2 linked regions of the Drosophila melanogaster genome follow. The protein of the gene in region 1 interacts with the protein of each later gene in a pairwise test. Each region holds a gene or a part of one and is shown in the gene's direction. Other genes may lie near its edges.

Region 1 (5,685 bases):
ATAAGCCAACAGCTTTTATAAATCTTATCACTCTTACTGTATTATTTACTAAATTTTAATGTGTTTTCATTAACACTAAGAAATACAAATAAAAGCATATGTAGCTTTTGGCCTAAAGGTAAATATTACTTACAATTATATTACAATTCTAGTACATTTTAAATACACTTATTTTTTTGTATTAGAAAAAGCTTAGATTTACTTAGCTATGCTCACTGTCACAGCCTAAAAGTATTCAAAATAATCTAAAAAATCCAAAAAGCTTTTAGGGAATGCAAATTTAGCAAGCTTAACATGCACATTAAACTAATGAATACCAATATATTTTTCTTAATTATTATAAATAAAGTAATAACTTATCAACCATTTTTGCTCAAGTGCACATAACATAAATCTAAACAAATGCCATCCGCGAATGATAAGCTTTATGTAAAAAAAAAAAACTAGGAAATAGTTGTGATAAGAACAATGCAACTTATTGAAATAATAATATAAACAGATTAATTGATCAGCCAGTAATCAGTCAGCCCCTAGGTTAAACTATCAAATTCAGTTAATTACATTGATTAGCTTGGATTGCCAGGTGTGTGGTCTTAGTTAGCTTAAGTTACTAAGGCAATAAAAAAAACCTTGTGAACTTTCAGTTTTATAGTTGCAATATTACCTGATTGTAAAGTTTCACAAGATAAGATATGCCGGAAAAAAGGAAGATATAGTTATATAATTATATTCTTTTATATTTTGGTACACAAACCAATTTCAGTTTACCTAACCATGAACTTTGCTCTCACTAACATTACTACTCCTAATGATTAAGTTGTTTTCCACCTTAAGACAAAATGATAAGATTTCTTTATCGTGAAGAAAAAGAACCAGTTCTTAAGAGCAGTTTTACTATAACTACTTAAAAGAAATCCACATGTTCTAAGTGGGTCAACGCCTATCACATATCTGCCGTTCGTACGATGATTCGCTGTAATAGAACTCGTTTTTGGGTCTGACACTGCACTGATGCAATGATAGCCCCTGACACGTTCCGTCGTCCACCGCCATAGGATCCTCAATTTGGCGAGCGGTTCGCTACACCTGTTCGATCGTATGCATACCTTTGAATACTTTTTATTAAATTGAAATATGCATTTGAAGGGTTTAGGCTACATACTCGTATACCAACGTAAACTTAATAGTAAACAGTAATATTTATCATTTTAGCACATATTTAAAATGTACCTTTTTTTCACTCTAAAATTCCCCGCTTAATATGTCATCATATAGTTTCGAGCACGTAAGTTTTTGTTTATGACCAAAGTGGTTTTGGGCGTACTTTGAACAATTAATCAGATTGCCTACGCAATATTTTGTAGCTGTTTGTAGGTCAAAAAGTGGTCTGATCTGAGAAAAGAAAAAGAATGCCTAAAAGAGAAGAAAAGAGAACTTGCAAAATGGTATTCGAAGAAAACTAAATTAATACCGGTTCAATTAAGATAGTAGGAATAATTATAAACTATTAATCTATAAATGCTACAGGCCCAAGTGATGCTACATATTTTCGGAATCACGATCCGTTCGATTCATAATTCCGTTCTCATAAACCTGGTGGCCGCCTATCCGCCTATCGCCAATCGGAGGGCATCCAGAGTGCCCCACCTTGGCGATCTGCTATCTGTTGAGACCCAGAGCTCAGACCATATACCACATACACCGCACAAATCAGACAGCTGCGTTCCGAGTGCGAATTAGTTGTAAACGAGCCGCGACGTCGAGCAGTTCGCACAAACTTTAAGTTCGCCAGCAAGTCGTCCAATATCGCGAGCTCATCACATTTTACCAAGCTTTCACTTGATTTATATAGCCATCGTTTTTTTGGGGTCGTTGAGCCAGTAGTGGACTAAAATCGGTGGCGAAATGAGCACATTGGCACTGGTGGCTTTCGTCCTTTGGGCAGCTTTTCTACGCTACCTACCCAAGATTCTGAATTTTCTGAGACTTCAGAGATTTGCGAAAACTCTGCCGGGTCCCACGATTGGCGAACTGATTGCCAATGTTAAGAAAGGCGGTGAGTTTGTGCAAAGAGAATTGATTAAGTGAATTTAATACCCATGAAATGGTTCTACATTTTATCACGCATACGCAGCGTTGCCCTCGCTGGTATAATTCTACTCGCATGCAATTGGCATAACTTATAAGGTCGTGCTATCTTTTTGTAATCGTATCTTTCGTAATATTATGTGTGCTTTATGATTTAGCTAACAACAATTAGAAGTTAAATTAATGACTTTTTTAACTGCTGCTCATTTCAGTTTTCATTTAATAACTAATAACTAAAGTCACTTACCTTTTTTCGTTACCCAGAGATCCTTAACTGGCTAAAGGAACTGAGGGAGAAGCATGGTCCGGTATTCCGCATCTGGTTTGGCAAGGATCTGATGGTTATGTTCACGGATCCGGAGGACATTAAGCAGCTGCTCGGCAACAATCAGTTGCTGACCAAGTCGCGAAACTACGAGCTGCTCGAGCCCTGGCTGGGCAAGGGTCTGCTCACGAATGGCGGCGAGTCCTGGCATCGTCGCCGAAAGCTCCTCACTCCGGGCTTCCATTTCCGCATCCTTAGCGAGTTCAAGGAGCCAATGGAGGAGAATTGCCGCATCCTGGTGCGTCGTCTGAGGACCAAGGCCAATGGCGAATCCTTCGACATCTATCCTTATATTACCCTATTCGCCCTGGACGCCATCTGCGAAACGGCCATGGGCATCAAGAAGCACGCCCAGCTGCAGAGCGACTCCGAATATGTGCAGGCTGTTCAATCGTAAGTATTAAAAACTGTTACATGATTTCATTAAAAATCATATTTTTTATTTAACTCCCAACCACAGTATTTGCCGTGTGATGCACAAGCAGAGCTTCTCCTTCTGGCAGCGACTCAACGTGTTCTTTAAGCACACAAAGCCCGGAAAGGAACGGGAGGCAGCTCTAAAGGTGCTCCACGACGAGACCAATCGGGTGATCCGGCTGCGTCGTGAGCAGCTCATCCAGGAGCGCAACGAATGGAAACCAGAAGCGGAGCAGGACGATGTGGGCGCCAAGCGGCGACTGGCCTTCCTCGACATGCTGCTGCTCACCCAAATGGAGGGCGGTGCGGAGCTGAGCGATACCGATATTCGCGAAGAAGTGGACACCTTCATGTTCGAGGGTCACGACACCACCAGTTCGGCCATCGCTTTTGCACTGAGTTTGCTGTCTAAAAATCCGGATGTACAGCAGCGCGCCTTCGAGGAGGCCAGCGAACTGGAGGGCAGGGAGAAGGAATCGATGCCGTATCTGGAGGCGGTGATCAAGGAGACGCTGCGCATCTACCCCTCGGTGCCGTTCTTCTCGAGGAAAGTTCTCGAGGATCTGGAGGTGGGCAAATTGACGGTGCCCAAGGGCGCCTCGATAAGCTGCCTCATCTACATGCTCCATCGTGATCCCAAGAACTTCCCCGATCCGGAGCGATTCGATCCCGATCGCTTCCTGGTCAACGAGAAGCAAATGCATCCGTTTGCCTTCGCCGCTTTCAGTGCGGGACCCAGAAATTGCATAGGTAAGATCATCTAGGCACTTACCCAGTTATCTATTATCTAACTTAAAAAGTTTGTTTTAAAATTGAAATTGAATCCAAATTAACCTGCGATCTTCTTAAAACTTTAAAGAGTATAACCGAAATATAACAATCAGCAGATAAAATCACATCCTTGAGGTCACAGAACCCGAAAATACTTATTAGAAATTGCGATTTCATATTTGTAATATATAAGGACCGAAGGTCATTCGAATTGCTTTCCAAAAAAAAATTTCTTAATTTAAACAATTGATAAGAACGAAAAGCTTTCGGTTGCCTTGTTCACAAGAAGATCACACACTTTAAAATAGGTTCATTTATTATTAGAGAACTGAAAATATATTTATAAATTAATTGTTGATAATGCCAAGATTATTTCACAATGCACATCACTCACAGACTAAAGTTCATAAACATGAGCTGAACATTTATGAAAACACAATGCAGCTAAAGATTATTTTAAAGAAGCGCCCAAAAACTAAATGACGTCAGCAAAGGCTTTATGGGGATTTTATTACTTACTTAGTTGTTTGTTCATATGACTCTAGTTTAACTTGTTTGTTTGCTTTCAGGTCAAAAGTTTGCCATGTTGGAGTTGAAGACGTCGCTAGCGATGCTCCTGAGAAGCTATCGCTTCCTGCCCGACAAGGATCATCAGCCAAAGCCGTTGGCCGAATTGGTGACTAAAAGTGGAAATGGCATTCGACTTCGGATCTTGCCACGGGATGAGAACGGAACGACAGCATAAAGCCATTATCTCAATATGATTTCTAGTTTTTTTTTTTTTAGGGCACCATCATGTCTAGATTAGGTTAAGCTAACGATATAGTGAACAATGAACAACATTTCCAGCGTAGTGACGCAGTTTGAAAGGCCCAGCTGGGGGCCCATTTCTTATCACTTACAACATTGCCATATTGTTTTTATTTTTTTTTATTTCTCGCTTTGAACTTTGAAAAATACAATCGATCATATACATATATACACGGCTAAAGAGGTATGTATATATATATATATATGGGTGCTGGGCTTTATTTGTGGTTAACATCCAGAGCCAGCTAACAAAAAAATAGTTATATTTTTTATATATATTTTCAGATATATATATATATATATGTGTGTGTATGTGTGTATTTTGGATGTACGCCGATCTCCTTTTACAAACTACATACACATACACATACTTATTGCTCTCCAGAGTCCCCGTTAATCCAAAACTCTCCGTCGTCCGTGCTCGTGTTCCCTGACAATTCCTTAAACTACCGATCCCAATAGATCTGAACTTAGGACCACTTCTTGCTGTCATACAATCTCTTAATATTTTCTGTACGAACTAGTTAAATTCCTTTACCATAAATATATATTTATATATATATATATTTACTTTATGTATGATCGTAGTTGTCTGGTAGATATTCACATAATATTTTAATATTTTGTTTGTTAGTTTGAATTTAGTTGGTATAGTATACTATATCCCTAACTAGATTGCCTTCAATTTCCGTTTGTGTTTCGTTTGTTGTGCCCTCTCAAAGGGCCCCACAGTGAAGTCAAGTCCCGATCTGAGTGTATATATATGTATGTATGTATGTATATATATATTTGTCATTATCTATGTTTTAGGTAGTCGTAAGCGAGTTTTTGTTTTTGTTTGGCGCTTTCTGCCTTAAAGCTTAGCAGGAAACAATTTGTCTATGGGATTAGTGAGAGGCGGCTAATGATATGATTTGGCTAAAGTATAATCGATTACGGTACATATATATATATATATATATGTATATAGCATAACTGATGGATCGCGGGGCTTTCGCGATCCGTGCGGAAGAGGAAGATTGGAGAATACTGTAACTTTGGCTCTAGAGACCAAGGACAATACCACGTTTATGCGCACGCTTAAGTTTAAGATCCATATTGATACTTCGTGTATTTACAGACAGCAAAACTTTGCAATTTTGTAACATAATTTGTTCACCACTATGTTTAAATATATATATTCATAGAGTTGATTGTTTTGTCTTTAAGCATATGTCTACTTCTCTAAGAAGAACTTTTATTTCAATTAAAGCTTGACTTACTAAAATATTGCA
Region 2 (5,094 bases), on another chromosome or scaffold:
TCCGCATGAACTATAGAACTAAATCGGTCACTCCTTATCGGTCGCGTCGCCTTAGTCGACAGATGTACCCATGTGTGTAGACAAACCAACATACGTACAGCCTCAGCTACTTTCTGTGCGAGTGAGACAATTGTTTATTAATCAATAATAACAATAATCTACGCCACGCACACCGACACAACGTGTGTATTTCGGTATCGGCGCTGTTATCACTATCAGCCCGCTGCTGCTGTGGCTCCCATTGCTGATAAGCGACTTCCCCCACTCCGCCGCTGTAATGCAAATCAACAGCATTCGGCCTATGATAGTGATAGTGGCGAGCGGCGAGCAGTACTTTGCACTCGAGTGCTTATTAATTTCTCTTGCCAGCAGCGCACTCATTGCCTTTGCATTTTATTGTCTCACGATCTGGCTATAAAATGAAAATGGGGACGGGTACTTTATTTATCGCCGCCACTTATTGCAGTTCGTATGATACTCGCTCTATGGGCGGAAGAAACGGAGGCGGGGCAGTTCAGAGGCTCTCGAGCCGGAAAAAGTCTCTGTAGGGTAAACAAGGCGGGTTCCATGGCTCTGCGAAGTCTTTCTGCCGAGCTTCAGGTACAGTGGAGGTTCTACTGTGTGAAAGTGTAGTTAATACCTAAGTTCGTAAAGTTGCTAGTGCCATTTTTGCTTGCAAAGCATGCTTTGTTGAAAACCATTTGATATCTTGCTAGAAGCTTTCAGTTTAGTGACTCTACATCCCTACATGCTGGCAGTTTCGAACAGTTTTGAGCTGTATTCCAGTGAGGATTAATCCCATTTGAGTTCGAAACTATCGCCTCTTGTGCTGATTATTGTGGACAGAGATATTGGATCACGACACAGAGGGCTGACTGTGGCCTCTTTGCTTTTGCTTTGAGCTTTGAACGCCCGCAAATGCTGACTATTTTGTTGGGCCCTAGCATGGTGATAGAATGTGGGAGGGGGAAAGGGGCGTGGCAAAGGGGGAGTAGGTTGGAGATAGGAGGGCTAGCGACTAAAAAGTGTTGATAACCGGGCACACATTTGCATCCACAAACACTGCGACGCACACACGCACACCCTGCTTTCTAGGCCTCTGCCATTTAAGTTCAATCATTTGGAGCGTCGTCGCTGCGTTGTCATTGTTGTTATTGTTGTTATTGTTGCTATTGTTGCTATTATTGTTATTGCTGCTGCTGTTTGTGTTGCTGTCGCTCCATGTGCTCCTCACATATGTTGAACTAAAAAGAATTGGAGGAGCAGAGAGGCAGGGCGAAGAAAAGAACTGTACATTTGTACGGGGTGTATTGGTTTAGTTGGGTACCCTACGCTACAGAAGAAAGTAGAAGGTTGAGAAGGAATATGTCTCCTACTTTTCGTGCGTTAGCACGCTTTTGTAACAAGTTTCAATAAATAGATTATAGAAACTATAAAAAGCAACAATTCGGATATGACAGTCTCTATATCTTGTTTTGTGTAGCGTATTCGGCATGCAGCTTAGCTCTCACCCTTGGCAACGGCAACAAAGTAGGTGCAACAAAGAGTCATAGCGACCGTCTCTCCTGCGCCTACAGAGCAACTCTCCCCACCCCCAGCCCCTCAGGAAAATGGTCAGACTGCTTCTGCCTCTGCCTGTTGCTGCTTTGCCTGCTCTTTCTGTCCCACACACTTGCTCTCTCGCTCGTTGCTCGTAATAAGCTTACACAGAAAACAAATAATTGAAATCTAAAGAAGTTCTCCTTTAAATTATTAAACGCAAAGGTATAATTAGATACAATGAAAATAAGTTTCTTGCATGCAGATCCTTTTAAGCTACGAAATCGCTGTTAAAGGCCATATAACTAGCATTGCATTAGTTGGTGATTTAAGTGCTTGACTTTTCGCGCAGTGTGGCGCACTCTCTTCGGCTCTCCGCCCCCGTCAGCTGTTGTTGTTGCACTGTGGGGCTTTGGGGCTGCGATACCAGCTGTTTCGTTTCGTATCGTTTCGTTGCGATTCGTTTCATTTCGTTTCGCCGCGATTCGATTCGAGTCGAGCTGCTTCAGTTGAAGTTTGTCGCTGGCCGCGTTCAGTTGTCCGGCTAGAAAAGCGGAAGACCGGGAAATCCAGACGCGCTACAGACGCCCGATATCTGCTCCCACTCTCAGCGCAAGATCGCGGGAAATCAGGAAGCTCCGAAAACATCGGATAACCGTTTTTATTTTTATTCCCCTTTGGTTCGTTCTCGCCTCCGTTTCTTCTGTTGCTTCTGTTACTTCTGGTAATTTCCATTTCCCTCGGGGGGATACGCGCTCAAACGCAACTGCAGGCGGCGCAAAACAAGAAATGTAGATAGCGCCAAAAATTAAAAAAATAAGAAAAATAGAGAAAAATAAAAAAGCGAAAATCATTGTTATTGCATGGAAAATTACTACAGAAATCTCCTGCAAAGCAGCCCAGTCAGAGTGGCACTAAAGCAAACCAAACCAAATCAAACCCAAAACTGAGACAACAACAAGGCGGCGGAGCATAAATTAGATTGGCCTCATAGTCGAATAATAACGAGCTCGAGCCGCGTAAACAAATTAAACGATGCTGACCGCCGTTGTTGTTCAAATTTAAATATAAACTATTATTGTTATCTCTGCGCTTGCCGTTGTCTATTTTCGCGCCAAATGCAATCGGTTCTTCGGTTTTTTCGGGGTATTAGGGGAGAGGGCATTACATAATTAGTGAGCGCGTAAATTAAATTATAAACGAAAACGGACGAAAATCGAGTACCAACTTTCTTCGTTTCCTCTGATCAAAACAATACATTTTATCCACAGTTTTCGTGTCTTAAGTTTCGGAGCCCTTCGCCGATTTCCAGCAATTAGTTACTACATCATATATGTTCTGTGTTATCAAAAACGCGAGCGAAAGAAGCGCTCTATCTGCGATTGTAAAGACAAACACCACAAGAAAGTAGCTGTGTGCCCCTCGGGCAAATGAACCGAAATTAAAGGAGATTACAAACATCGCTATCAAGCAAATGTAGAGACTGTTAGTCCGGCGAACAAAGGGTAAGTAAGAAAGGTTCCATCTATACAGTACTCCAGTTTTCCCCAATACATTTGCAAATGTCCTTTGAGGCCAGGACTGTTACTAAGAGGCTTTTCCGATGAAATGGAATGTTCCTTAGGGATTGTCGTAATGGAAAAAAACCCAAGGCACTGCAAGAAACAAAATGCACTTTAGAATTGGTTAAAATATATCCTTAAGCTGGTATTCCCCTAACATAGGTTGCCACTCGCATTTATCTGCAGTGCCCCACTTAATGTCTTCATACATAAATAACTGGCTATTTTTGAATATTTGAATTCTCTATTGAATCTATAGAGAAACCATTCCCTTCCCCAGTGCACAACTCTCGACTGGAGTAGAAGCTCATGCTATTGGGTTTGCAGCATCGCTTCCCACAAAATCCTCACAAATCTTTGGCAGATTGCACATGTGAAACCTGCGGTTGTTGGCCAATTCCGGCTGTTTTCCCATTTTTTGGCCAGTGCCAGGGACTTTGCGGATTGACGGGCTGTCAAGTCAGCGCAACAGGTTCCTGGGCCAAGATGCGTATACAGAAAACAGAATCGAATGGAAGACACACTGATTCAATTCGTTCAGTATTGGATTTGCTGCTGCCACACAACTTCAAGTTGAGGAAATTGGCACTTGACCTACCGCACGGGAATCTAAATTAGGCGGCGTGTTCGCTTGCCGAGCGTTTCGCCCTCTCTTTCCGCCCCACTGCGAAGGCGAAGCCTCGCACGCGGTTTTTGGTAAACTGCTGAGGGCATTTGTTCACTTTGCTGGCTGCGTTTGTTTACGGTTTCCATTACCCGCTTCTCGCGGCTTCAGCTTTTTCCAGTTCTATTTCGAGTTGGCCATCCACTAATTAGGCAGCTTGTCGGGCAGCATTCGAGTTAAATGTTCGGCACTGCAAATGACATGGTCCTTGCGGCCATACACACGATACTATCCATTGTTACACTCGTACAATACATGCGGTGAAACAATCAAGTACGCCGACATGGGCGTAATTCGCAGACAAACAAGAAGAACGAAAACGAACTGAGCCTGCGAATTAAGGCCCCTGCTCGGCAATGAATTCTCTTCGCCATGCCAGGCCATCGGCCATCCCGGCGTATACGTAATGCTACGGGCCGAAAAGAATTGAGGAATGGCTGGCAGTTAATGCCAATTATGATAAACGGTTGCTATGTAGCCGTCGCACACAGATACTCTACACACTGGCGCGCGCCACACAGATACTCACGCAGATACAGATACTCATGCACTCGCACTCGCACAACTGTTGCTCGCGATGTTGTTGATGTCTTTTAGTTGTTGCCAGGCGCATTAAGATTGCCGCTTGTGCTTGTGTGTGTGTTTATGTGTGTTGAGTGATTGGGTGTACGAGTGTGTGATGGGAAATCACTTGAACCATCGGCTGAGAGGGCAATTGATATGTGCTTCCATCAATGTTGCAATCAGTTAAGCGGCTTTCGAGCGCCAGAAACAACTGAATCGGTCTGTAAACTCAATCGAATTCGTCCTTTTGCGACAAAAACAACAGTCATGGTCCTTCCAATGACCTGCGGCCACTACCATTATTAATTCGATCAGCTGTACGCTTCGCAGATTCCAGTAATTCGATAAAAGTTTATTTAAGCACTTATTTGAACAGATTCAAATAAGTAAATTGAAAGTTTAGTACATTATTTCATGTTTAATGCGGATAGTTTAAAAGTTGTGTTGTTTGTTGTATCCGCGAATGCTGCTTTAATCATAGTCATTTCTATGGGCGCAAGACGAGGTGACTGAACTCGCAACAGCAACTGCAGCAGCCACTACAACTGCAGCAAGTGCAGCAGCAACACAATTGCAACTGCAGTCTGTTAAGCTTGCTTGCCGTTAATTTGTGCAATCTTCTACTTTTACCTACTTATTACAAGTAGTCACAAACAAAACTGAGTATTTTCCATGCCGTTTTCCCATGCTTCAGATTCAAGGGTATTTACGCATGTTCTTCAGCTAACTGCAAGCATAATCCAAGTGGGAAACTTTCTGACTTAC

Evidence for each region.
Region 2: the proteins of Cyp4s3 (region 1) and Sesn interact in a two-hybrid assay, tested with the Drosophila melanogaster proteins (one large-scale study listed by BioGRID).

What each region holds. Positions count from the first base shown.
Region 1 is NC_004354.4:15,112,593-15,118,277, reverse strand, and holds Cyp4s3 (cytochrome P450 4s3), read left to right. Parts: upstream 1-1,735; 5' UTR 1,736-1,905; coding exon 1,906-2,056; intron 2,057-2,352; coding exon 2,353-2,806; intron 2,807-2,873; coding exon 2,874-3,580; intron 3,581-4,170; coding exon 4,171-4,346; 3' UTR 4,347-4,976; downstream 4,977-5,685. UniProt on the Drosophila melanogaster protein: May be involved in the metabolism of insect hormones and in the breakdown of synthetic insecticides.
Region 2 is NT_033778.4:23,711,856-23,716,949, forward strand, and holds the start of Sesn (sestrin), read left to right. Parts: upstream 1-2,044; 5' UTR 2,045-2,263; intron 2,264-2,810; exon of another isoform or gene 2,811-2,825; 5' UTR 2,826-3,044; intron 3,045-5,094. UniProt on the Drosophila melanogaster protein: Functions as a negative feedback regulator of mTOR function.